3 linked regions of the Ovis aries genome follow. The main gene of each other region encodes a partner of the protein of the gene in region 3 in a complex. Links are inferred from orthologs where the notes say so. Each region holds a gene or a part of one and is shown on either strand. Other genes may lie near its edges. The genes, in order: SEMA4D, ARHGEF12 and PLXNB1.

Region 1 (6,871 bases), on a different chromosome or scaffold from region 3:
AAAGAACCTGCACGCCACAATGAAGATCGAAGGTCCCAAGTACCACAGCTAAGGGCCCATGCAGCTAAATAAATAAATATTGCAAAAAACCCAGGTTATTCTATTCCCTACGGGCTTCCCTGGCGGCTCAGATGCTAAAGGATCCACCTGCAACGCAGGAGACCTGGGTTCAATCCCTGGGTTGGGAAGATCCCCTGAAGGAGGGCATGGCAACCCACTCCAGTGTTCTTGCCTGGAGAATTCTCATGGACAGAGGAGCCTGGTGGGCTACAGGCCATGGGGTCGCAAAGAATCCGACAGGACTGAGCCACTAAGCACATTCCCTAATGGCGATCCCTTCTTACAAATACATTTTATCATTACAAAAACAATCCCACTGTAAAAGAAACAAACTACATGGAAATAGGTGAGGGATTAAAAGGATAGATTCCCCTTCCTCCTTCCTTCCACACCCTTCTCAACCCTCTGCCAACACCCAAGCACACACAACTCACACGCACACATATATCCTTCCCTCCCATCCCAGTCACCAGCCTGACAGCCACTCTTGCTCGGAGCTGTGTCCCTAGAGTCTGGAGCAGCACCTGCCCTCCTCATCCACCAAGGGCGCTCTATCATCGTCTGCTTGACACACAGCGTGTGTCATTCCAGATGCTTCTACACTTTATTACCTATACATGTGTAAATAGGATCACTCTATGCAGTCTACACTAAAGAGCAATGTTTTCACTTAACTCATCAGCACTGCTTTTAAAGTAAACCTCAACAATTCCATGAAGTGAAGGATCCTATGGCATTTGAGAGGGGGAAATGGAATTCTTAGATCATTAACTATTTTATGATAAGACTTTTAAAGACTAAAGATAAAGACTGAGGAGACTAACAAACCCTCAGGTACCATCACCCAGAGCTAATAACCGTTCAACAGTGGTCAATGCCGCTCCCTCCATCACCCAACCCATCCCCCACCCATGCTAATCTAAAACAGCTCTCGCTTCCTCTGCAGATCACTCCAGCATCTACAGCTAAAGGGTAAAGACTGTGTGAACATAACCACAATACCGTTGTTAAGGAATATAATTATCTTTTAAAATCATTGTTCACTCAACAAACACCCAACTATCTCTTTAAACACCATCATTTTTTAAAGGAATGATTTTTGGCTCAAATGCTGGTTAACTGCACTTCGTTCAAAGCTGCAGTCCCGAGTAACACATAGAAGTGACCTGGGGAAGGGGTGAAGTCTCTACTTTCATAGAGAGCAGCTGAGACTTTTAGACCAAATAAAGGACCCAGTCCTACTGGCGGATCACAGGGCATGCTGGAAGGCAGCTATGGGGGAACGACTCCTGGGCTGCTATGATGCCTGGTCCAGGTACAATACCGCCAGGTAAATGACCATGCACTCAGGAAGGGACAGGCAACTGAAAGTGAGCCACTCCAAGGAGTTGTGATGAGCCAATTTGCTTATCCCAAAGATCACCTTAATTGGTGCACTGAACAATGCCAGCCCAGCTCCAGGCAAGGCCCACTCACGTGCTATCTCCACTTGACTGAATCAGCAGATATTTTCTCCTAATAAATCTCTTGGAGAAGGCAATGGCACCCCACTCCAGTACTCTTGCCTGGAAAATTCCATGGACGGAGGAGCCTGGTGGGCTGCAGTCCATGGGGTCGCAAAGCGTTGGACACGACTGAGCGAATTCACTTTCACTTTTCACTTTCATGCATTGGAGAAGGAAATGGCAACCCACTCCAGTGTTCTTGCCTGGAGAATCCCAGGGACGGGGGAGCCTGGTGGGCTGCTGTCTATGAGGTCACACAGAGTCGGACACGACTGAAGCGACTTAGCAGCAGCAGTAGCAGCAGCAGCAATAAATCTGCACTTCTCTCCATCACCTTTGGACAGCAGGCAGGCTGCAATGTGCACGAGCTGTGCTGAGTCTCCAGTGCAGAGAAGCCTGCCCGACCGGCCCACTCTCGGGTGACGTCCGGAGACATCCCTGAATGGCCAAGAGCCCCAGAGGCACAGGTGGAGCAGGGGAGACTAGACCTGCCAAGCCCCACAAAGGACAGCAGTCTTTCTTCCTGCAGCCACCCTCGACAGTCAGTTGATGGCAAATTCATTTGTGTATTTTTACATGGCCAGCTTCACCCCATGGCCCCCCTGCAGGCCTGGATGGTTAACTTGGTCACTGTTATCACTCCCAGAAGAGACTGGGGATGGGGGCCGGGGGCACAGGGGCACTGGGACACACTACTTGCCACATCACCTTCTCAGTTCTTTTGAACAAACTGTTAGCATGAGGGGAAGGTCACTGTGAATTAAGGAACAATCGGGAAACCAATACACTTATGCAACAGCAGGGGCCTAAAGGGGACGCCTGGTGGTGGGAGGGGACCCGGGGCCCATTTGCCAATCCAGGAGCCCCAGGCTCACCACACAAGGGATCAGGAAGAGGCTCCTGGCCACACCCATTTCCCCCCCACACACCAGAAACAGAACCCAGAGGGAGGGGTGGGAGGCCTGAAACTGTCCATGCTCAGTGTGGGAGAGGCAGGTTCTCTTTGGAAGCACAGAGGACCAATGAAAAAACCATTGATCTCTGCAACACATTATTGATTTCGCTATGTGCTGGCACCAGCGATGGTCCTCCCCCCTCACTCAGAGCCAGCCGTTAGTGTGCGCTCCCGAGACTGGCCTAGACATCCCTGCCTGGTGAGGGGGGAAGCCGCTTGAGATGAAACCTGCCTTGGCTAACCCACAGGGACTGGGTCACGAGTGAATGATGTCATCATGGTCATCTCCCTGGCCCCAGACCCACTGGACAGCTGTGCAGCGCGGCCCTGCACCCCACTCCTGAGCTGAGGTGGATGCACCACCTGCCAGGACCCCAAAGAAGGCTGTCCGAGCACCCCAGTTACCAGCACAGGGGTAACGCTGCATTTTCCAGCAATCATAGAGAGCCAGTACCTCTCGAATGCCAGCTCATGGTCCTATAACATGGCTCAAGAGTAGACCAGGGCTGGGTTGCCTCTCAGTGTCAGCAATTTTTCTTTCTTTATTTGGTTTACCCGCTGTTCATAATACAAACTTTTTTTTTCCCTTTGCAATCTGAAGGTCTAGCCTCTTGGTGGGGAGAGTCTTTGTCCCCAGAAATGCCCCAGTGAATCCCTTCACCATCCCCTCATCCCTGCAGACTTTCCCCCTGGTAGGACTGGTTGCCTGGAGTACTCCGAGCAGGTCTGTTTTATTCTTCTTTATTCTTGCAGACGATGTGCACAGACACCAACCGTTCAAGTGACAATCGTGGCATTATCTCGGCCAGAATCCTGGCCCCAGCACTGACTGAGGCAGCCTGTTTCTGGGACACAGTAAACATTCCCAAAATACAGCGCCCAGGCAGCCAGAAGGCAGGCCCCAGGCCTGGGGCAGGTATGAGCTGACAGGCTACCGATGTCACTTCACCCTTGGAAAGGAAACTTCCGCTCGGTGGCGCCTAGTGGATCTGAACAGACTCAGAATGGGGGGGCCAGCCACTTGGCCACAGTCCATAAGTCCTGGATGTGCTTAACATAAGTGGTGGTTTTCAAATCAAAAGCTGAACAACTTTGCATAGCAAACGCGCTCCAGAAATCAGGGACCCTTGCCCTAGACCACAGGCCTCGTTTTTGGTGAACTGCCCACCTCCAGACGCCCACACAACCCCATCTCCGATACTAAATGAAATAAAACGAAGGGGACCACCACGACCCAACCCTCCTTTCCACCGCCTGCACTGGCAAAACCCCAGTGGATTCAGCCTCCTGCAGTTCACCAGGCGGCTGCAACAGGTGCAGCCCTGAGCTAAGGCTGCTGATTCTCCTTGGCTATTCTAGAATCACGCAGCCAAAACCCAAAAGGAAGCCGAGGCCTGCAACACTCACTGCCAGGGCCCCGACCTGCCCCACCTGTCTGAGTGCGCGGCTCGGGGTCTAGCGCCCCGGGGGCCGCGGCCCCGCCGACAGAAATAGAAGCCGCGGGGCCGGGCCAGGCCTGAATGGCCGGAGTGGGGCGGGGGCCGAGCGGACAGGAGCCCCGGGTCAGGCAGAACACACCGCCCCCGCCCCGGGCCAGGGTCTGCCGCGCGCCCGAGCCCCGAGCGTTGCCGAGCCACCTGCGCGCCGGGACAGGAAGGCAGCCAAGGAGGGGAGGGGTCCTGGGGGGGTCCTAGGACGGGACTCAAGGGTCTGGGGAGAAGTCATGGAGCTCCGGGAAGGGGGCTCCGGGGAGGCCCCGGGGGTCCCGGGAGGAGTCAGGGGGCTTCGGAGCCGAGGCTCCGGCGGCCGATTGGGGGAGGGTCTCGCCGCCCCCGCGCACCTGCACCGCCCGCGCCCGCCCTCTACCCGCCAGCCCTTACCTGGCGCGGCGTGTCCTGGCCGCGCGGCCCCGCGGTGCCGGGCCAGGCGAGCGCGGGCGCAGGAATGGCGGCGGCGGAGGCGGAGGCGACCGGCTCGGAGGCCCGGCGCGGAGGGGCGGCGCGGCCAGGCGACTCGGGGATGCTGCGACGAGGGAGGGCGCGGAGGCCGGCGCGGGAGGGAGGGCGCGGGGCTGCGCTCAGGCCCCTCCTCCGCTCCCCTCCTCCCCTTCCCGCCTCCTCTCGCTTCCCTTCCCCCTCTTCTCCTGCCTCCTCCTCCTCGCCGGCCGGCTCCCCGCCCTACTTCTCATCCCCTACCCGCTCCGTCCCTCCCCTTTTCCCTCCCCTTTCTTCACCTTCCTGCACTCCTCCACTCCCTCCATCTCCACCCACCCCTGCCACCTTCCATCTCCACTCTTTCCCTCTGACCTCTTCCTTCCCCACCTTCCACCTCTTCCCCTAACCCCCAAGCCCCCAAAGGCTAACCTCTGCCCTGGCCAGGCCTCTGCTGGGTCCAACACACGTTCTGATGACCTGTGCAGTTACCCCCTCCTCACCACCTGCTAATGGAGCATTGCCCCTTCTGGGAGCCTGACCTGACCTCACCCTCTCGAGCCTCCACCCTCCTCCAAATCTCCAAGGTTTTGCGAACTCCCAGGTTCTGATGCTGTTCTACTGGGGACCTGACCTGCCCAATGGGTGGAAAAAGCATGTGGGCTCTGAGGACGCTTGCTCCTTTGCTTCTAAGCAAATCTAATTTGGATAAGAACATTTCAAACCAAGCCTTCTGCCACTTCCCCAGGGTGAGGTGGGTAGGTACCAATCCAGGTTTTGCTGCACCCCTTCTGTTTGCCCCCATGCCAACTCTTTGTTAAGTGTTCACCATTTGATCATCCCTGGTGACACACGTTTACACTAACCCACAGGTTTGAGAACTAGGTGCCCTCCGAAGACTGCTCCAAATCCTCTGGCCCTGGAGGAAGAAGCAACAGGCCTGAGAAGGTGGTTGATCTGGCCACTAGGCGTGCTGAGGGACGCTGTCCGGAGAAAGGAATGCAGTTCCCAATGAACCAGCCAGGCTTTCCTTGGGTGTAGTGTAGGAGTCAGGGCTTCTCTGGTAGCTCAGACGGTAAAGCATCTGCCTGCAATGTGGGAGATCCAGGTTTGATCCCTGGGTGGAAAAGATCCTTGGAGAAGGGAATGGCTACCCACTCCAGTATTCTTGCCTGGAGAATCCCATGGACAGAGAAGCCTGGCAGGCTATACTTCATGGGGTCGCAGAGAGTCAAACATGATTGAGCCACGAACTAGCTGGTTAAGAGTCATGGTGCTCTGCCTCCAGTCTTGGCTGTAGACCCCAGGCTGCAGGAACCCTCCCAGCTCACCTGAGGTCACTTTCCTGATGCCCAGGAGCTGCTGGTAACCAGAGTGAGAGTTTTAAAATGAAGCCATTCCTAAATGATCAATAACGGGACTGAGAGCCTCACTCTCTTCAGGGGACTCCTCTCTTTCCATGCTGAGGCTGCCATAGGCACACCTTAGTGCCAGTGTGCCAACACTGTGCCAGCAAAACTAAGATGGCGAAGCTAGTGCAAAGGGTGAAGGTAGGGTGGGCAGGAGTTTACCCCCTCTCCCTCTGTAGGGGGGAAACATGACCTGGAATCTGATAGGCTCCAGTTTGAGTCTTGGCTCTGATGCTTCCAGGTGACCTTGTGAGCCCTGTCTCACCCTCTCTAAGGATTGCAGAGCATGGAGGAGAGAATCTCAGGTAAGGCCACCAGCACCACGTGCCCCACATTCATAGCTGGAGATTTTTACGAGAAAGACACAGGGGAGGTGTACCTTCCAAGCTCTCCACCTGTGGAAGAAGTCTGTGAATCTGTGTTCCCGCATCCTATTTGGATTAAAACCTGATGGGAAGAGATGTTTTAACAGCATCCCAGGCCCCAAGAAGGAACCCATTCTTAAGATGGATAAAAGTAAGTATTGCAAATACAGGGGCAGGGGGCTGTCTTGTGTTCTTTACTAGTCTGACACGTCTAGAATACAGTTCCCTTGCTTGGGATCTAAGGACAGCCACCAGCAGGCCATGGGACGGTAGTTGACACACGTGGAACCTTCAGTCTGGAAGATCAGTGTGCAGAGCACAAGACGGCGGAATCCAAATATTTGCAAAACTGTCTGGGAAGAAGGATTACCCTGTGGGGTTATGAAGGGCAGAACGAGGACAGATGGGTGGAAATTAGACTAGAGAGTCGATTTCGTCCCACTTGTGAATGCTTTCTGGCAGACCTGCCTGCCAGAGGAGCCGGCCACCCCTGGAGGACCATGTCCTACAAGGCCAGTGTCTAGACAGGTTCTGGGGCCACTGCAGGAAATTGCTGGAGGGGGCCTGCAGTAGGGATGACCCCTGGAACCTTTTCCAGCCATTAGATCATTCCACATTGTCTTTAATAAGGTTGCTGCAGCCCTGT
Region 2 (6,388 bases), on a different chromosome or scaffold from region 3:
CCCTCACTGCAGCTCTGCCTTCTGCTTTTGCAAACGGGAAGAAAGACAGAACACAGGTGCCATGGGGACTGACAACTGCAGCTCTTCTTCGAGAGGAAGAGCCGAGTCAGCAGACGGTGGCCTCTGCTTGATGCATGATGTTCGGAAACAGGTGTCTTTGTTTTTTTTTTTTTTTCAGAGACAAGAGATGAAATAGAATCTCACAAGGTTTTCACTTTCATAAATCATTTCATTCAATGGACTGTTCAGGCAGGATGATTCTTGAGTCAGAAACCCACAGCATTCACACACCTGAGTGCTTGTCTGTGAGGGCTGATCCAGCCAGCCTTTGGCAAAGAATGGTGTAACTTTCCTCCACCTTCTGTAAAATAAAACCCACAGGTTTTTCATTCAATCATTAAAAAAAAAACCTTTATTTTGAAAATAGGAATGAAGGCTTTTGTATATTACAGGTCTAAGCTGTCAAATTTAACATTAACGTCCTTAAAATTTTTGTTAATAGGAAAAAAAAGAAGTAAATTTCATTTCCTTTTACCTGCTTCTCCCTTGAGTGAATACCTTAAAATGTTCCCATGCAGAAGAAAGTAGAGGAGAGAGCAACTATTAGAAGTGATTATTCCCTCCTGCCCTGGAGTCACCCTTAAAATGATCCCATATGTGGCATGAACTAAGTTAGAGCCAATGTGCCCTCGATGGCCTCTGAGAATCTTACCAGCCGCAGGACATCCCTACATGTAACCCTACAAAGGAAGGAAAACCTATCACAGGAAGGTGAAAGAAAAACTAAGGGAAACCAATCTTTAGCTAAGAGACTAAGAACACTCTGAACTCTGCCCCCAAAACCTCTACTAAGTAATGTCATGACAAAACATCTGGGCTCTGGTACCTATGCCTACAGATGGCAAACTTACAGAGTCCTGTTGTCAGAAAGGACCACACAGGTCAGCTCTGCAGTGATGGCTCACACAGTGACATCTTCAATTGCCCATTTACAGAACCCCTACTCATAGGCAGGTCTTTAGATTACCACTGGAGCCACTGGAGACAGTGTCTCTCTGTCACAGCATCTGGGAAACTATCAACATCACGCTACAATTCACAGATAATTAATAGGTGATGGCAAGTTAAGGCATTTCCCAGCCTAGATTCCTAACTACACAAACTCCACCTATCTCAGCTTATTGCTCACATTTTCTCATGGAGGTCAGCCAATCATCCCAAATGTATTCAGGTCCTTAAACTTTGAAAGCCATACACACACAGTTTATAGAGTACAACTTTTTCTGTTCTTATGATGTGTAACCAGGTAAAACAATGCTGACCTTAGTTTTTCATCCAGGTCTACTCACAGACAATGGTCAGAGACAACACACAAACCTAGACCCTCAGCGAGGTTACTGACATCAGCATGTCGATCATTCTACACTTCCTCTCTGTTAAATGTGTTTCTTATATCCGACTCCTAAGGATGAAGTCCGAGGTACCTTTAAGTGTTCAAGGTCAGCCTCTATTTTACGAATGTACTCCATGATCTGGCTTTGTGAATCAGCACAAGCAGAGGGACTCTGGATCTCAAAACAGGAATCCTCCATAGTTCCCCAGCGCTGCTGGACCAGGAATTCTGGGGTGAATGGTGAAACAGCCCCATCAGAATGAGCATTCTGGGGAGAAGGCTGCTGCTGGTGTCCAGAGTCCAGAGAGGGGATGCCTGCCCCGGGCTGAAGGGGGAACGAGGAAGCAACCTCGTCGTCTGTGGAGCTCTCCTGCACCGGGTCATAGCCATCAAGGATCAGATAGGTTCCTACAGACAGAGACAGGACAGGTTAAAGAGGTTAGTACCACCTCCAACACATCGGAAAATAATGTGGGGTGATGTGCTGACACCTTTAAAAGCTATTGAAAAGTGAAAGTGAAAGTCGCTCAGTCGTGTCTGACTCATTGCAACCCCATGAACTATACAGTCCATAGAATTCTCCAGGTCAGAATACTGGAGTGGGTAGCCTTTTCCTTCTCCAGGGAGTCTTCCAAACCCAGGGATCGAACCTAGGTGGCCCGAATTGCAGGCAAATTCTTTACCAGCTGAGCCACTAGAAAAGCCCAAGAATACTGGAGTGGGTAGCCTATCCCTTCTCTAGCAGAGCTTTCTGACTCAGGAATCGAACTGGGGTCTCCTGCATTGCCAGAGGATTCTTTAACATCTGAAATAGCTTCAAAGCTATTAAAGAGGGGGAAAGGCCATTAAGTTCCAAATTCCAAGTTACATTTTCAGGACATCAGAATTTTCTTACTTCAGATTAAAGCTACACTTAGCAAACACTCCTGGTAATTCCGGAATAACTTCATGTTTGCTAGCATTTTGCAAGTTAAAAGCTGAAAACTACCAAGTCCCTATATGATCTTATGACCACTTTCCCTGTCAAATACCTACCTGGCCTCATCTCTCACCATTTCCTCCCACAGCCTGTGCTCTTTAACCACAGAATGCCTGCTCTGGCCTTGCAGACTGTGTGCTCACCTCCTCTGTTGGAACACTCTACTCCTGGACACCCACACAGCGTCTTCCTTCCCTTCCCTTCCCCTGGGTCTCTGCTCAAGTGCTACCTCATGAGAGGCCTTCTTCCCTGACCACCCTGTCCGTTATCCTTACTGTCTGCGCCCCTCAGTATGACTTATTTTTCTGTATCATCCTTACTATCTGACATCTATTTATTTGGTAACTTATTTACTATTACTCTTTCCCCAAGTGGTGGTGAAGCTTCATGAGAAAAGTGGATTTTTCTGTGTTTTATTCACTGTTACATCTCCCGGGACCTAGGATGGGGTCCAGCATAGAGTAGAGACAGTATTTACTGCATGAAAGAACAGACACTATACACAGACACACAGACACATACATGAGATAACGCTTGGATATCCAAGCAACATCGATTTCAGCACATAGGACAAATAACGACGATCGAAATCAAAGTTTAAATGTGAAAGGAACTTGCCTGAGATGCGCAAATTAACATCCTTCTCTTCCTTTTTAACTGCTCCATCACCTTCTGATGGATTATCATCACTATGTGCTTCACGGGCATCAAAAAAGTGCTCTCCACTCTCATCAAGACCCCCTTCTGGCTCTGAGGGAGGCATCTCTGGGGTCATAATCATGTGGTCCATTACTAAAATGTCACTTGCCTGGCTCTCTTGGAATGCCAGTACTACTGAATCCCGTGGAGCAGAAGATTCAGTTGAAGTCCGTGGACTGTAACAAGTTGAAATGTCACCAGTTCCAGTTCTAAAGGGCATCTGTGCTTCAACAGGATGACAGGCCTTAATATTTTCAGGGTTCTGGGTTCCACTGTCTGCCTGCACCCCCAGAGAGGCTGTCCTGCATCTTGGAAAATGTGGCCAGTCTTCCTGAGTGCTCTTCTCAGTCAAGCCCAGCTGGTGTACCAGCAGCTGCTTCAACAAACCCACTAGAAGATTTAGGAAGTGGGGAGAACACATGCATTCACATAACCTCAGACAGACAGAATTAAATTAGAGGAATTATAATTTCTCTCTTAAAGCCAGTACCTTTTTACTAACATACAATAGAAAACATTAATTTCACACAATCATTTTTTGTTTGGTTTGAAAAATGAAATAAAACACCATCTAGAGAAAATTTAAGATTAAATTAGACAAAAAAAAAAAAAAAAACTGAAGAATTCTCAATGGAGATTTTCCTATTATTCTCCTATTTAAAACTGTTAAATAACCAATACCATGCCTGCCTCCTCTTTTTCTTCCATATAACTGGAATACCACCCCCAAGGTACTTCTTAAAGGGATGTAGAAAAGCTGTATTAACCTAAACAAAAGAATCTAAAAGTTCTGCTTTTTCCAGAAGCCCACACTATTTACATAGGCATTTTTTCTAATTTTATTAGAGACACAGAACATTTATTTTATCATCTATAATAACCCAAAGAATCTCCTTAAATGGTGACAAAGAAAACAAAGCTGGCCTGTAAATTTAATTCCAATGTTTGGTACCATGCATAATTTCAAAGGATAAGGAAATATTTATTCGTTTTTAAAAATGACCTAAGTAACACAGCTTCCTTAGGTTGCTAAAAACAGAACCAATTTAATTTTAAATGGGCCAGTGTATGATGTGAGGCCACTCAATGAGAGGGTCAGTGGAACACTGTTAGTGAAACCATCAGAAATCATTACCACTGTTAACTCAATGAGTCTAGAATAAAGTAAGTCTTAAATGACTGGACCAATTCCCTACTTTCAACTACCTTGATTTCTGTCTTCCCTTTAAATAAAGTCTCCACACGGGTTTGGGTCTTTGACCCTCTGTCTCTCTGTTCTGCAGTCACTCCCTGAGAGATGCTATGAATTCATATGGCTTTGACACTCAGAGCCATCTTTCTCCCCAACCTCCTCCAAAATTCCCGTCTTAAAATTCCAACCTCCTGCTCATCCTTCCTCTTAAACGGCTTGCCATTCATTACTTACATCTCAACATGTTTTAAAATTGAGCCCACAATCTATGGCAAAGGAAAGAAGGAGAAAATAAAGTGTCGCAGTGGGCAGTGGCAGTCCTTTCTAATTTTTATTTCTGACAAGAAAACTAAAATTATCTCTAAATATTCCCTTTCCTTTGTCCTCACATCCAAAGAAGTCAACTGTTTTAAGTATTTGTTGGTTCCTCACTTCATTTTCATTTCTCTAACACCATTCCACCATTCTAGTCCAAACCCATTTAGCCTCAAGCCCAGACCACACCAATCCTCTTTCCATTCAAATCCCTCTGCAGCTCTCGGCCAGAGTATTCTTTTTCATTACGAATACATATACTCCAGCTTAAAAACTTCAAATGGTTCTTTCTCTGCAGCAGCCTTTTCCCCTTCCTCTGGTACACCTGAGACATGTGATGCACTCCTGTCTGTACCAGTGGTTCTCAACCAGGCTGGAAAGGTGGGGGGATAGCTAAGAGAGTGGCAAGGGGCATCCAGTCATGCACGTGTGTGCGTGTGTGTGCGTGTGTGTGCGTGTGTGTGAGAAGAATGGGCTGTGGTGAAGAACACTACAGTATCCACAAGAAAAACAGAAGAATATCTGGAGCTTGAAACAGTCCTCAGAACCCTGTGGTGTGCCGCCCTTCAATCTAGTCTTCAGGGTCCACAACAGCTGGGCTCCACAAAGTGTCCTCCAGCTTTCTAACCTTGCCCCACAGCTCCTTTAGCTTGTGTGGTCTCCCACACAGGCCAGCTGCCCTACCCACCGCGCTCTGAACACCCTCAGAGGTTTAGCCTTTTTGCTTTTGGTCCTACCATTCTTCTTATCTGAATGACTTCTATTTATTCTCCTATTAATAAATACCTATTTTGAGTCTTACCCATTCTTCAAGGCAGTAATCACAGCCCTCTTGTTTTCTAATGCCTCCCTTCCCTGGTCACTCAAACCAGATCAATTCTGACATACCTATAAAGCTTATCTACTTAAGAAGGTAGGGGAAAGTTTTCTGTCATCTTCCAAACTAGACTGCAAGATTCTTGAAGGGAAAATTCATAGTTTATACTTTCTTGACTCTCCCTAAATGGTTGCATAATACATTATAGAACTCTGGTGCTTAATAAGTCTATCTGTGTTAATGTATGAATAGAACTTACAATTCCTTAGTGCATCCAGTGCCCACCGTTCTTCTGAGACAGGCAAGTGTGGATCTGGGATTATGATTTGATAATTCACTCCAACTTCCTTTAGTGTCCCGTCTGCATGCTGCTCCTTTGCAAACTGTCTCTCAGCCACAAAGAGGTCATCTACTTCCGACTTCCCAGAGGTACCCAGCGAATGAGACTGAGGTTTTGATGACATTAAAGGAGACTCTAATCCCAAATCTCTGTCTGTTCAATGGAACAGAGAAAGTAGAATACATCTTAGCAAAACTTTTAATGTGAAGCACCCAGAAAAATATTTGGAAAAAAATAACCGCATAAGCTACAGAGATTGTCCACAAAGTAAAACGCATGCACTTAGTGTGGCATTATGATGGCACACAGAAGGTGCATGAGCTAAGTCTGTTAAAGTGAACAGCAGATGCCAGAACCTGCATAAACCAAAGCAGTTCAGAGTCTCTTCACATTTTATTAACTAACATGTAGACTACTTTCTTCCAGGTTAACTTTGCAAAACAGCTTACCTGGACTCTGCAGACCAGTGACTGAAATGCCATGATGTTCCACTTTTAATTTTGGAGGTTCTTCTTCATCATTGTCTCCTCTACAGAAGAGAAAATAAATAAATAACCTTTTAGCCTCACAAGGTGCCTAAAGATCACTGCAACAAAATGTGAAGACTCATCCATCGTTTTTGGGATGCCACTCAGGAGCAGAGGCACACTCAC
Region 3 (6,869 bases):
TCAGAGCAGAGTGGGAGGTGGAGGGGGTGGGGGCAGGGGTGGGGCGTCCTAGAGGAAGTCACTGATGAGTACCCCACATCCCCTGAAACTTCCCATACCTTGAGGGCCTGCTCTCCTCACAGACCCTCTCCCTGCAGACTCCACCTGAAGCCTGGGGAGACCAGGAAACCATGCCACCACCTTGCTAAAACCTGGCTGGTCTCCAGCCTGGAGCACCAGGGTAGGCAAAGCGCTGGGGACCGGCAGCGCATCCCAAGCTGTGAGATGTTCTCCCTGCTTGTTTGTGTCCAGGCCACATGGCCCGGCCCCTCCTGCCACCCGGCTGCCAGTCTGCCGGTGCACAGTGCTCCTCCAACAGCTTCCCAGGGTCCAGGTTGACTCCTCCCAGCCGAGGCCCCCCCCAGCTGGGTGCTCCTGAGGCTGGCCCAGAGGGAGCAGGGCTGGGCGTAAGGCTTGCAGGAAGGTCCAGCGAGGAGCTGTGGCCACAGCCTGGCTGGGCACTGCTCCCAAAATAGCTTGGGGGTTTCCATTTTTAGTGTGCAGAGAACAGGACAGCTCTATGGGAGCGGGAACAAGGCAGCCACTGTTTGCCACCGAGGGGGCAGGGGGAGGGGGGCGGCAGGGAGAGCCGTGAACCCGGCGAGAAGCCCAGGACTATGGCAAGGCCAGGCTTCCCAGGAGCCCCCCACCTTGTATCCAAGGCACAGTGGGGAAAGTTTCTTCCCCCAGGAAGATGGGGTCTGCCTGAGGATGGGCAAAGGCCGGCTGCTACACTCAGCTACTGCTCGGCCCCTCCCACCGCCTCCCTCCCAGGGACACGCCTTGGGCAGAGGGTCTGCCCCACCATTCGATTACAAACATTTGCTCAGCGCGGACTTCATGCCAGAGTTCTCCAACCCTCAAGGGGCAGCCACCAAGGCACTCCCTACATGTAAAATCACAACTGGGTCGAGTGGCCCACAGGAAGCCAATGGGCAGGACCCAAACAGCTTCTGGCAAAGTCACATCGAAGGCTGGAGGCTGACCCCCGCTGGGGAAAGTGTCAGCCTTCTTCAATCACTGCCACGGGGCCGAGCCACCCTCGCCCTTCCCCACATACCACGGGTGGGAAGGAAAGAAGGGTGGTGACATTTTTCTCCTTATCGGTCACATATTTCACTTCACCTTGGTCACAGACAGCCTCTGGCCCCTCCAGTGCACCTCCTCCCACCTCAGAGGATGTCCCTCTCTCCAGCATCTTTGGAGGCACCCCCCGGGGCCCGGAGGATAAAGGTCAAGCCCTCCCGTCCACACGCTCTCCTGCGGGATCCTTGCCAGGGCTCCCCCACACATGCTCTTCGTTCCTGCCAGGCCGAACTGCAGACTGCTCATCACACTCCCCCACGCTCACTCCCTATTACATGAGGTACCCAACCATCACCTCCCAGAGAAGCCCTCACTGTCCCCCAGGCTCCTGAGAAGCCCACCGCGTGTGACTGGTGGGCATCCCCAGCCACCACCCTGGTGTACATTGCAGCTCTGCCTTGGGGTCTCTGAGCCTCAGATTTCCCATCTGGAGAATGGGAGGCAGGATTGCTCTGATCGTTCAACGTGATGTGGTGTGTGCCTGGCACGCGAGGCACCAACCAAGGCCACTTTTCTCCCTGTTCCACGCTCCTATCCTGAAATTCCTTAAAGGCAAAGAATGTGACTTCTAATTCAGAGGCCCCAGTAAGCGGGACAGACGTTAGCACGGAGCAGGTGCTCCTCAAATGATAAAAAGAACCCTCATTTCACAGCCAATAAAACTCAGCCAGCAGGGGAGATGCGGAACCCACAACCCACTCCAAGCCACTCAGCTTCTCGAAGGACACAGTTGTCAGCCCCACTTTTATTAATGACTAGGCCAGAGCAGACTGAAAAGGGTGCTTTGGAGCTGGGCCTCCAGTTCCCAACTTATACAAATAAGATCTCTCCTCCACCCTCCACATCTCAAGCCCCAACTACAGTCAAAGCCTAGCTCTTCTGGGCCCCCCAACTCTGGACCGATTCAGCAGGACCCAAGGCTGCCTAACTTCTGCCTGCAAAGAACAACCAGTCTCCTGGACCTGGGGCTGTCCTGGCCAACCAAAAGGGCATATAAACTCTGCCCTTGAAACTGGGAGAATGTTCCTATCCCAGCCCTCTTCACCGGAGTCGCCGGGATTGGTGTGAAACCGGCCTTTCCTTATGGCCTTCTCGCTGGGCTCCCAGGGTGCACCCAGAAGTTACTCATTGACAGCATCAGAGTGGAGAGTGCCTGCCCTGTTGTCTGTGTTGAGCCGGGGTAGGGGCGGGGTGGGGGGCACCATTTACCAGTGAGGACTCAACGAGCGCTCATCAATCACCCACCGTCTGGGTGCGGGGTGGGGGGCTCCCCCTCTGGGGGTGCGTGGCGGGGGGAATCCCAGTCTGCCTTTTGTCAGTCGCGCCGAGTACCGCCTGGAAGGGCTGTTACTGCGGAGGGGAAGCCTGGACCTCCCTGTTGCTCTTCCCCGACCCTCCTCCCTCCTCCCCGACCAGGGCAAGGACCCCCCCAGTGGTCCTGGGAGGGCGGGGAAGAGGCCGGCCGGTCCCCGGCTGAGGCGGCGGCGGCGAGGAGGGGGCGCGGAGGAGCGGCTCCACCTCCTCTGTCTCCCAATCGCGTTACAGGCGGAGCCGACAGAGTTTCCCTTCGCGCGGAGAAGTGTGGTCCCAACTCTCAGGATTGAAGCCGCCCACCACTCACCCCGGGCCGCGTCGGCCCGGCGGCATCGCGGCTCCAGGCCCGTCCACCCCGGGGACGCGTCGCCCCGGCCCCACCGCCCGGCCCCGGGCCCCGCACTCACCACCCGGCCGGGCCCCGCGGGACGAGCGCGCCGAGGCGGGCGCCGGCCGCTCCGGGTTCGGGATCTGCGCGCGCGGCGGCCTCCCCCGTCCCCTGCTCGCCACCCCCCCCCCGCTCCGCCACCTCCCGGAGGTGGGTCTGGCGGAGTCGCAGCTGTTACCCGGAGACCGAGGGGCGGAAAACTGCGCCCGCCGCCCGCCCCGCCCGCAGCGGCGCTGCCACCGCCGGGAACAAAGGAGACAAAGCCGCGTCGGCCGGGCCCGGCTCCGCTCCTTCCCCCCCCCCGCGCCCGCCGGGCCGCCCTCCCCCCGCCCGCAGCCCAGGCCAGGCCGGAAGCAGCCGGGAGAGCCGGGCGCGCGGCCCCGAGCCGCCCGGGACCCCGCATTCCAGCCCTCCCGGCTCTGCACTTGCCGAGGGCGGGGGACTCGACCCCTCGCTCGCTAGGGGGCGGACGGTGGGGGCAGGGGAGGGGAGAAGGGCTGCACCCCGGCGGTTGCCAAGGCAACGCGGATGGCGGCGGGAGGAGCGCGCAGAGCCGAGCCGCGGGACCTGCTGCCCCACCCGGCCCAGTCCCCGCCGGGCCTCACCTGCGCGCCTCGCTGGAGCCGAAATTGGGAGCCCTCCGGCACGGGAGGGGCCGGACGGCGGGGGCTGGGGGCTGGGGGTCGCGCTCTGCACCCCGACGTGTGGTGGTGCTTCGCCCGGACCTCCGCCTGCCTGCCTGCCAGCGCCCGGTGGGACTCACGCCCCTCACCTGCCCCGCCAACCACCTCCCCCGCTCTCCGGGGCCCCCGAGCTCCCTCTTACCTGCCCAGTACCTGGCTCCTGTGGCCATCCTCCTCCAACTTTCTTTACCTGAACTCCGGGGCGCCTGGTTTCTGCCCACCGGTCCTACTCCTGGGACTCTCAAACGGCCAAGCTCTCCTTCCGGCCCCCACCTCTGGCTGTGCGGGAAGAGCGCTGGCTTTGGGGTTGGGCCTGGGTTTGCGCCATCACTGAGCCAAGAAACCTGACCCCTGCCCCCTAAACACACATGCTTGTTTGCTCACCGTCAAGTGGAGGTGATGCCACACCTAGCCGGGCTGGGAGAGTTGGGCCCACCGCTGCAAACGTGCACAAGCTAGGGCGCATTTCCTCCCAAACCTGTACCTGGACCCGCCCCAAGCTGAGAAGCCGTGGGCAAGTCTAGACTCCCTCACCGGTAAATACGTCACCCTTCCAAAGGCACACCTGGGTTCTCTCCTGAGGCCCAGGTGTGCCCTCTGCAGGGCCCTTCAGGCTTGGCTCCCTGCAAACTCAGGAGCCAGCACTTGGTCCATCCTATTAGGACTTCCGCAGGGTTTTGGCTCTCAGCCACTGGGACAGCCGCCTGGGAGGCAAAATTGGTCACACACCCTGAAAGCTCCCAGGGCCTCTGCAAGGCTTGAGGGGGACCTCAATCAGGTTTACATCATCCACACTGGCTGCTGTGTAAAGAGCTAAACTTCAGGCACCCTCTTCCCACCTTCCACCCATCAGTGTGCCTTCACTCTCACAGGACTCTGCCTTCCAAGTTGTCCCTCACCAGCACCTCGGCTTGCTCCCCGGACCTCCAACCAATCTTCCAATATCTGGGTCCAGGGTTCAGCACCCTGTCTGTGCCAGTTCTGTCTCTGGATTTCACAGACCCCAGGTGCTATCTTGCCTTCTGGGTCCCCCACGTCATTCTCTAAACTTATGCTCCACACCAATCACCACCTCATTCAAGCTGGTGTGCCCCAAGGCCCTCAGCCACCTTTGCCTTGCCTTTCTGTGCAGCTTGTTGGGGGTGTTGGGTGGCCCTTCCAAGTACCTGGACCCCTCCCCTCCCCAGACCCATTCACTCAAGTGCACACCCTTTAGGACCCACCTCACCTACCTAGGTTTAGGACCTAGGATTTCCAAACCCCACAACACCCCTCATCTATAGACAGATATGGTATCTCCTACCCCACCAGGAGGATGAACATCCCAAGTATAGAGGTCATTTCATCCCACACCCTCCGAAGGAATCATTACAAAAAGAAAAGAAGGCCACGGATGGAGTGACCAGACGATCGGAGGTTCGCTGTACCCATGGGGCCACTGGCCAGGGCTGAGCACAGGCTCCCAAGAAGGGCGGGATCTCATGGAAGCATTTCTGCATCCACATGCCTCTGCTGTGCATCAGCTCTACTCAACCTGCTGACCCACCTCATTGGGTCCTGAAAGGAGGGTGGGTTCTTCAGACCCACAGTGCAAGCAGAGCACCTCCTCGCTGCTGTTTACTCAAGGACACACAAGGCCACCCATGGCCATTTGACCCAGGAGGTCAAAGGCTGCTGTTCTCCACTGAGAAGGAAGAGGTCAAGGGTTCTCAGTGCAGTACGCCTCCATGCCCCCCAACTGTACCTCCCACCTCTGAGAGGTCCCTCCCCATCACTGCCTCACTGCTCACACTGCTGGTGGGCTGAGCTCTGCCCAAGGCTGGAAAGGCCATCCCTAGGCTGTGTGTGAGATGACACCCTGCCTAAGTGGCACTCCAGCAGGGAACCAGATTGGTCGCCAATCCCTGTAATTCTGTCCCCGGCAGTATTTACCAACCATTCCCCCAATCCTTGTTCCTGCTCTCCTCCGATCAATCCTCCAGTGTTAGAACCAGGAAGTTCTCTCCAACATGGCACAGCAAGTGATCCAAAACAGGCTGTTACCATGGTCACCACCAAGCCAAGTTTTATTTACTGGAAATCATGGGCCATCCGACACAGGTGGGTTGGACAAGTGGAGGACAGGCCAGGAAATCCAAAATGAAAATCAAGGCCTGGGGCGGGGTAGGGGGGGACCAGTGTATCAAAAATGGTCTTGAACCAAGGGCCGGATCAAGAGATGAGAGAGGAACTATAGGGGGCGATTATCTTACTTTCAGGCCCTACCCTCGAGTTCCAAATCTGAATGTTCAATGGACAAAACTCAGTCTCACATACATTACTTTAAATAAGAAAAATGAAAGACGTTTTAATTGAAAGACGTGAGCACAAATATTTGCTGCTGCTGCTAAGTCGCTTCAGTCGTTTCCGACTCTGTGCAACCCCACAGACAGCAGCCCACCAGGCTCCCCCATCCCTGGGATTCTCCAGGCAAGAAGAAATATTTGCTAGTTAATGTCAATTAGTGTAAAAAGCAAAGGATGTGTGCCGGTGAGGTCAGACTCAGGCTGAGCACACTCCCGGAAGTCCACTTCATTACTTCATTCTCTTACTAAATCCACATCCATACCCCCTCCCTCTGGAGGAGGGTCCAGGGGGCTAGCTGGCCCTGAACAGCATATAAAGCACAGGTAGGACGGCCACAAACGTCGCGCAGGTGACCAGCGTGCCATAGACGGTGTTCCTGTTGACCTGGGCTTCCAGCCTCTGCTCCGTGTCCGACAGCGCCATGATCACGCTCCCCTGTTCCAGCAGGGAACCAGGCAGAGCTCCGTCTGCAGACTCCACCAGGCCCGGGTGTGCTGCAGCCTTTGCAAGCTGAACCACCCCAGCCACTTGGCTCACGGTCTTTTCCAGGCCATCAAGCTGCTCTCGTAAACCCTCTAGACGTGAACGGACCTGCCTAGAATGGCTGAGCTGCTCTCTCAAGGCAGCTAAAAGGACATCTGTGTCTCTGTCTCGGGTCGGGGAAGAACCTGCCTGGGACAAAGAGCTCTGCCCGGTCCCAGCTTGCACCAGGCCCTTCAGGTCTGCCACGAGGTCACGGAGGTCCCTCTGCTGGAGTGAGTAGCTAGACGCTTGTTCTCGGATGGCTTCCTGGAGGCTCACAGGCCCCTTCTGGGCCTCCAGGAGCAAAGCCTTCAACTCCTGGAGCCGCACGCGGTTCACGTAGGTGGAGCCAGCCACACCGATCAAGGCCCCCAGGACTGACCCGATGAGCGACCAGTTCTTGGTCCTCTCTGCCCGGGTGCGCTCCTTCTCATGGCTTTCCCGCACGGCTGCAGAGAAGAGGGAGAATTTCTCTCGCTCAGAGTCTTCTG

Evidence for each region.
Region 1: the proteins of PLXNB1 (region 3) and SEMA4D are in contact, whole or in part, in a crystal structure (PDB 3OL2), measured with the Homo sapiens proteins. The link is inferred for Ovis aries from reciprocal best matches to the Homo sapiens genes PLXNB1 and SEMA4D. Residues at the interface, in NP_001123554.1 of Homo sapiens: Leu80, Pro81, Pro82, Glu87, Arg136, Pro137, Gly138, Asp139, Thr140, Tyr142, Gly178, Glu202, Lys205, Ala207, Gly209, Arg210, Ser212, Glu213, Arg235, Arg242, Asp359, Val360, Asn361, Ser362, Leu367, Pro368, Thr371, Tyr375, Ser379, Asp380; in NP_001358123.1 of Homo sapiens: Glu99, Lys100, Gly101, Phe158, Tyr179, Phe181, Leu182, Gly183, Ser184, Arg198, Tyr201, Ile203, Glu208, Val240, Leu264, Arg265, Thr266, Leu267, Gln268, Lys270, Thr347, Gln350, Ser351, His352, Thr353, Asp388, Gln392, Lys395.
Region 2: the proteins of PLXNB1 (region 3) and ARHGEF12 are in contact, whole or in part, in an NMR structure (PDB 2OS6), measured with the Homo sapiens proteins. The link is inferred for Ovis aries from reciprocal best matches to the Homo sapiens genes PLXNB1 and ARHGEF12. Residues at the interface, in NP_001123554.1 of Homo sapiens: Glu2129, Lys2131, Val2132, Thr2133, Asp2134, Leu2135; in NP_056128.1 of Homo sapiens: Phe82, Gly83, Leu84, Thr85, Val86, Ser87, Gly88, Asp89, His127, Val131, Lys135.

Annotation. Positions count from the first base shown.
Region 1 is NC_056055.1:24,275,672-24,282,542, forward strand, and holds the start of SEMA4D (semaphorin-4D), read right to left. Parts: upstream 4,550-6,871; 5' UTR 4,401-4,549; intron 1-4,400. UniProt on the Homo sapiens protein: Cell surface receptor for PLXNB1 and PLXNB2 that plays an important role in cell-cell signaling. Regulates GABAergic synapse development. Promotes the development of inhibitory synapses in a PLXNB1-dependent manner.
Region 2 is NC_056068.1:30,791,545-30,797,932, reverse strand, and holds part of ARHGEF12 (rho guanine nucleotide exchange factor 12), read right to left. Parts: intron 6,265-6,388; coding exon 6,185-6,264; intron 5,889-6,184; coding exon 5,655-5,888; intron 3,462-5,654; coding exon 2,991-3,461; intron 1,802-2,990; coding exon 1,485-1,801; intron 362-1,484; coding exon 292-361; intron 1-291. UniProt on the Homo sapiens protein: May play a role in the regulation of RhoA GTPase by guanine nucleotide-binding alpha-12 (GNA12) and alpha-13 (GNA13). Acts as guanine nucleotide exchange factor (GEF) for RhoA GTPase and may act as GTPase-activating protein (GAP) for GNA12 and GNA13.
Region 3 is NC_056072.1:51,460,471-51,467,339, reverse strand, and holds the start of PLXNB1 (plexin-B1), read right to left. Parts: upstream 3,772-6,869; 5' UTR 3,701-3,771; exon of another isoform or gene 3,653-3,700; intron 3,093-3,652; exon of another isoform or gene 3,006-3,092; intron 2,986-3,005; exon of another isoform or gene 2,847-2,985; intron 1-2,846. Other genes in the region: CCDC51 (mitochondrial potassium channel), read right to left, coding at 6,148-6,869. UniProt on the Homo sapiens protein: Receptor for SEMA4D. Plays a role in GABAergic synapse development. Mediates SEMA4A- and SEMA4D-dependent inhibitory synapse development. Plays a role in RHOA activation and subsequent changes of the actin cytoskeleton.